2 linked regions of the Saccharomyces cerevisiae S288C genome follow. The protein of the gene in region 1 interacts with the protein of each later gene in a biochemical or structural test. Each region holds a gene or a part of one and is shown in the gene's direction. Other genes may lie near its edges. The genes, in order: DDI1 and RUB1.

Region 1 (4,032 bases):
AAATGGATTAAGAACCCTGTTCAAGCCATTAGTCTCTTCAAAAAATTAGATAATCCCGCAATTGGCCCAATGAGAAAGATTTCTTTAGCTTTGTTAGCGGTGTCTTTCCTTACCGCTATGAGTGGCGGTATGGTTGCCGGTTTGGATGCTGGTTGGGTCTATAACACCTGGCCAAAAATGGGTGAACGATGGTTCCCTAGTTCTCGTGAATTAATGGACGAAAACTTCTGTAGAAGAGAGGACAAGAAAGATCTGTGGTGGAGGAATTTGCTAGAAAACCCGGTTACAGTTCAGTTGGTCCATAGGACATGTGCGTACGTTGCGTTTACATCAGTACTAGCTGCTCATATGTACGCTATCAAAAAGAAGGCCGTAATTCCAAGGAACGCGATGACCTCTTTGCATGTTATGATGGGCGTCGTTACTTTACAAGCAACACTTGGTATTTTAACTATATTGTACCTAGTCCCAATATCGTTAGCTTCTATCCATCAAGCTGGTGCTTTGGCGTTGCTAACAAGTTCTTTGGTGTTTGCCTCTCAATTAAGGAAGCCAAGAGCTCCGATGAGAAACGTAATCATTACCTTGCCACATTCAAGCAAAGTAACTAGCGGTAAAATTTTAAGTGAAGCGTCGAAGTTAGCCTCGAAACCATTATAATGGATAAAGGTATTCTTATGAGAATTGACAGTATACTCGCTTTTCCGCTTTGTCGCTCCAATGGTTGGATTGTATGTGTGAGGCTTTTTCTTATTATATGTTGGTATCCCTACGAGAAGCTGTAAATATGAATTTCTTTAGTAGGCATCACACACAACAATAGGGTGTATTTATTTTTATTTTTTTTTTTCTTATATAAATGTCAGTAATACATGATATCTTTAAGTTAGGATTTCACGAAATTTTCTTCTGCCTTCATCATGGCATCTGTATTTGTGCTCGCGAGCCTCCAAAGTATGAACATAAACACAGACCTATACGGAGAAAATGTTTCAGAGCATTTTTCCATTATGTCGTCGTCATATATTTTCCAGTTGTATTTCTTATGCTTAATCTTACTCTTTTTAACTACTTTTCTTTCACGCATTAATTCTTTTTCCAATTCTGGCTTATCTGAAAGGTATTTTGAAAAACCCCTAGCAATACCTAGATCTTCAGGAGCAAATACATCCATTCTTTTCAATCCGGAGATCAAGAACATTTTGGCACTCCATGGGCCTATACCTTTTACATTCGTAACTAAACTTTCAATCACTTCCTCATCATTATCTTTTTGACCGAAGAGCTTTTCGATATCCTTATATTTTTCAGTAAAATAGACAGCAAGAGACTCTAGATATATCATTTTCCTTTTACTCAATCCACATTTTGCGATTTCTGCACATTTTGCTGGGTCTTTGAAGTCTTCGAAAAGGATTTTGTAATCAGGAAATGCACCGCCATAAAGACTGACAACCCTTGCCTTGATGCTTTCAGCTGCTTGGCCACTGATCTGTTGAGACAAAATTGTGCTTGCAAGCCTAATAAAATAATCTTCGAGTGTATTAGGGACTTGAGTCTCCTTCAAGTACAACGTAAATTCATTATTCTTAAGTATGGGAAAAAGTGATGGATCTTTCTCTAAAATGTGTTCGCAAGCCATATTGAACTTTTCTTCATGTCTAGCAATATATTTCTCAGGAAGAGCAACCTCTAGAGGTCGAGACCCTAATTCTTTTGCTATTTCCTTAACAGCGTCTGCTTTTATTAACTCATCATACTCCCTTTTTAGTTTCATTGAGACCAATCCCTCTCTAGCTTCTCTTGATTCTCAGTAAAAAATTAAAAAGGAAAAGTACCACTTCCATCGTCATATCAGAGGGCAGTGGCCAATTCTCATTGATTCATAGATAACTTAAACTTTATGTAAGAATTCCCGTCGCCACCCCGCCCTGTAAATTCATCGCCACCGAAAAGATAATAATACCAAAATGATATATAAAGTAGGTCGAATAAGAAAGTATACTTAACGTAGTTAACAAAGTACATACCAAACATAACAGCAAAAATATACGTAAAGATGGATTTAACAATTTCAAACGAACTTACTGGCGAGATATACGGCCCAATTGAAGTCAGTGAAGATATGGCTTTAACTGATCTAATAGCATTACTGCAGGCCGATTGCGGGTTTGACAAAACAAAACACGACTTATATTACAATATGGACATTCTAGACTCAAACAGAACTCAGTCTTTAAAAGAACTAGGGCTCAAAACCGATGACTTATTATTGATTAGGGGTAAGATTTCCAATTCCATTCAAACAGATGCTGCTACTTTGTCCGACGAAGCGTTCATAGAGCAATTTAGACAAGAGCTACTTAATAATCAAATGCTTAGATCACAACTCATTTTGCAAATCCCTGGATTGAATGATTTAGTAAATGACCCACTGTTGTTTAGGGAAAGATTGGGCCCGCTCATATTACAAAGACGTTATGGTGGCTATAACACCGCCATGAATCCTTTTGGCATCCCCCAAGATGAATATACTAGACTAATGGCCAACCCCGATGATCCTGACAACAAGAAGAGGATTGCAGAGCTTTTAGACCAACAAGCTATCGATGAACAGTTGCGCAATGCTATCGAATATACACCTGAAATGTTTACCCAGGTCCCTATGCTTTACATTAATATCGAAATAAATAACTACCCCGTAAAGGCATTTGTAGATACAGGGGCTCAAACAACGATTATGTCCACCAGGTTAGCGAAGAAAACTGGCCTGTCGAGAATGATTGACAAGAGATTTATTGGAGAAGCTCGTGGCGTAGGAACCGGCAAAATTATTGGGAGAATTCACCAAGCCCAAGTCAAAATAGAAACACAATATATTCCATGCAGTTTTACCGTCTTAGATACTGACATCGATGTTTTGATAGGACTAGACATGCTGAAAAGGCATTTGGCTTGTGTGGACTTAAAGGAAAACGTTCTTAGGATAGCAGAAGTGGAGACAAGCTTTTTGAGTGAAGCGGAAATCCCAAAAAGTTTTCAAGAAGGACTTCCAGCACCAACGTCAGTTACAACTTCGTCTGATAAGCCCCTAACACCCACCAAGACTAGTTCAACTCTACCACCACAACCGGGGGCTGTTCCTGCGCTTGCTCCAAGGACTGGTATGGGGCCAACACCTACGGGAAGAAGTACAGCCGGTGCTACAACGGCAACCGGGAGAACGTTTCCCGAACAAACGATTAAACAGCTTATGGATCTAGGTTTCCCTAGGGATGCTGTGGTAAAGGCTCTTAAACAGACTAACGGAAATGCAGAATTTGCTGCATCCCTCCTTTTCCAATGAGCAACCACTGATATTGTGATCGGCCTCTACGTATGTAGCCCATAACACAAATAGATAAGTATAAGGATGTACATACTTTCATTGTTTCGTCAATTGTTGTTTGTATTGTATATGATTGTACTTCTGTTAAGTATATAATATGCAGATTGTATTTGTGCCTCAATGTGCGCCATTCATGTGTTGCAAACCGGTAATTTGATTCAAAAAATTCTTTCGTAAAATAAAACATATGCACTGGGTGTGATAAATTCAGTACTAAACGTTATAGGACGATAAAGCGAGTCATCGAAAAAATACCAACCTTTTTTTGGTCCCTTATAAACGTATGAAGTATAGTGTCCCCCATACAAACTCCCCGAATGACATGCAACCCCATACAGTCTGTATCTAAATGGTGGTACTTGGCCCCTGGTAGGAATGTCCTCATTAACAATAGCTTCATGATTAAAATCTCTCGCCCAATATGGTGTAAGATCTAAGGAGTAAGGATATTGGACAAACACATTATTCTTATTCATTTGATTGTCAAATCGTTTCAAATTAATAATTAGTTTCTTAGGCAATCTAGTAATCTTCAGTTGTTTAGTGGAAGGCTGCTTTTTTAAGCATTTAGGACATGACCATTGTTCATCGACACCTAACCTTTCGCATTTGGTGAATTCCCGGAAACAGTCTAATATGTTACA
Region 2 (2,857 bases), on another chromosome or scaffold:
TATCCCATTTAGGTTCAAAAGTTAAAAGTTGGAGGCTTTTAATTGCGGAATTGTTCCAAAATGACAAAAAACTTTCGGTAATTGGCAGCGATCAAACTTGGGAAAAGATTATTTACGAATGGTCCATTTATCCAGAAAATAAGTCAAAAATCTTGAACGATTTACTATTAGAAATTGGCTCCAAGCGTTCAAGTGTGACTCCGACTTTAATCACGTTTAACTTAGGAAGCGATTCTGAAGTCGAGTACAAGTGCCAAAACCTTTTGAAAATATCGTACTTGTTGATGGTATCGCCAAATGACGCATATTTGTTGCACTTTTCCTCTTTAATAAGTTGCATTTTCCACTATTTGGTGTCCAAAGATATCAAGCTCAAGGGAAGCTGCTGGATCTTACTAAGGGTTTTACTTTTAAGATTTTCAGAGTCCCATTTCAATGACTATTGGTCTATGATCAGTTACTGTTTACAAACTAATTTGCAAGAATTTTATGAATCACTTCAAATACAGTCAGAAGTCGATCCACAAACAATATTGCAAGTATGTAAAACTTTGGATTTGCTACTCTTACTCAACATGGAAGGCTTCACCTCTACGAATGAGTGGATCTTTGTTATTGATACAATAAATTGCGTATATAAAACGAACTCATTCGTCGCGCTGGTAGATGAAATCGCAGAATTCAAAGATTACGAAATAACCAAAACTGATGATCTTGAATTACCGACAACTTTAAAAGATGGTCTCCCATTATTACGAGGCATTCACAAAATCGAGAGACACACGCAACTAAGAAGCTTCTTCCAGAATTTGAGTTATCTACATTATGAGAAAGTTTACGGACTAGGGTCAGTTGATTTATATGGTTGTGGTGAAGATCTCAAAAAAGATATTCTGTCATGAGCATAGCTATGAATTTTTCTTTATAAACCGAAATATAGTTATACGCTTTGAGTAAAGACACAGGTTATCAATTATAACGTGAAAGGTTTTGCAACTGTCACCTTGTAAAGCTGTACACACTGAGGACTTCCCATCCCGCTTTTCTCGTTTCAATAAGTTTCACATTCCATTTGTAAGTATCGACAAACCTCTTAATGACTTCTTTAGGCTTATTTCTTGCACAAAATAATATATATGCAACACCATCTGGAGAAAGAATTTGTTCTAATTGTCGTAGCAGTTTATCAGTAATCGCCATCCCGTCTTTTCCACCCAATAACGCTAAATCTAGCCATTGGTCTGCCTCCTCTCTTGATCCTGGGACATCTGGCACACATTCTGCTGGCACATATGGTGGGTTAAATATTAGGACATCAACCTGATTATTCCGAATACTGGAGTTTAAATCAGCTTGAATCACTTCTAAAAAAGAACTTTTACATGAATTTAACTTCGCAGTATCCAAAGTTGCTTCGAGCGCCCATGGGTTGATATCAACAGCTAAGTGGATGGAATTTTCCTGCGGTATTATTTTGTTTTGCATTAGAAATGTTGTGACGATACCTGATCCCGAACCAATTTCGCAAACGATGGCCAAACGATTACCAAATTTCTGTTTCAAAAAATCATGCTCTTTTTCCAAACAGTCCAGTATGAGGAAGCTATCCTCAGCAGGCTCATATACTTTATCGTAATCGCATTTTACATAAGGGGTCGGTAGCATACTTCACCTTTCTCACCCTGTGTTAAGTTTATCAATATTATATTTCAGAGTATAATTATATCAATATTTATATGAAATCAAATTCCGATGGCGTCTTCGGGAAGGCAAACGAACAACTTTTAGCTGAAAAACCAAAATTCTGTTATTCAAATGAAGTATTCCGACAGAGGAATAAATAAAGGAAGGTAATTAACTTCCTTACAGCCGTAACCGATGATTGTTAAAGTGAAGACACTGACTGGGAAGGAGATCTCTGTTGAGCTGAAGGAATCAGATCTCGTATATCACATCAAGGAACTTTTGGAGGAAAAAGAAGGGATTCCACCATCTCAACAAAGACTTATATTCCAGGGAAAACAAATGTATGTTCATTCAGTGGTTAATTATCTTTTAAGTTTATTTACGTTTTTGAGACCTTACTAACGACCAGGATAGTGATGATAAATTAACAGTAACGGATGCACATCTAGTAGAGGGAATGCAACTCCACTTGGTATTAACACTAAGAGGTGGTAACTAGAACCATTTTCCGTCATTTATGGAATTTTATCGAAGGTGTTCATTAGAAAAGAAGACAAAACGAACATAAGTTCACTTGGACTTTGGAAGGCTACCGCCCCCAATTTGTCAAAAAAAAAAATACATACAATTTAGTCTATAGAGTCTGTTATAATAAATTAATTGTTTTTAGACGAGAAATGTGAACTAAAACTGTTTAGTATCTATCAAATTATCCGTTATAGCATAGTACGGCTATATATGGTCTGATTGCTGGTCTCATATGACTTTATGGTTTAAATTTCATAAAGCTGGCCATTGCATGGTTCGCGCTGGAAAGAGAGGAAAAGCGTGGTGATAAAGAGCAAACCAAGCATACTGTTATATGCGATTACAGACTATCTGACCAAAAGACATATTTCGCCATTTCTTCTCAATCATGTCTTCCAGGGCAATTTTGTAAGCACGATTGGATGTCCTCTTGTAGTATACCGAATTTCTCATTAAGAAAAGCATCCTTTGCGCTACAACTTTATCAAGTGGAAGTATATACTAAACTCGGAGCATGCTTTTGCCAACGATATCAGTCTTAGCAAAGGGACTTCTAAGGACGTTATTGACGCCTGATTAATCTAATCAAATATAGGTTTGTCATTTTTTTAAACCGAATGGATTGACTTTTGTTTTCATCATA

Evidence for each region.
Region 2: the proteins of DDI1 (region 1) and RUB1 are reported together in a solved structure, tested with the Saccharomyces cerevisiae proteins (one study listed by BioGRID).

Annotation. Positions count from the first base shown.
Region 1 is NC_001137.3:454,260-458,291, forward strand, and holds DDI1 (Ddi1p), read left to right. Parts: upstream 1-2,059; coding exon 2,060-3,346; downstream 3,347-4,032. Other genes in the region: COX15 (Cox15p), read left to right, coding at 1-660; MAG1 (DNA-3-methyladenine glycosylase II), read right to left, coding at 887-1,777; putative ubiquitin-specific protease UBP5, read right to left, coding at 3,547-4,032. UniProt on the Saccharomyces cerevisiae protein: Aspartic protease. Appears to act as negative regulator of constitutive exocytosis. May act at the level of secretory vesicle docking and fusion as a competitive inhibitor of SNARE assembly.
Region 2 is NC_001136.10:732,946-735,802, reverse strand, and holds RUB1 (NEDD8 family protein RUB1), read left to right. Parts: upstream 1-1,878; coding exon 1,879-2,027; intron 2,028-2,100; coding exon 2,101-2,185; downstream 2,186-2,857. Other genes in the region: DOP1 (Dop1p), read left to right, coding at 1-902; MTQ2 (S-adenosylmethionine-dependent methyltransferase), read right to left, coding at 1,000-1,665. UniProt on the Saccharomyces cerevisiae protein: Ubiquitin-like protein modifier that can be covalently attached to lysine residues of target proteins. Activated by the dimeric UBA3-ULA1 E1 enzyme and conjugated by the E2 UBC12 to substrate proteins.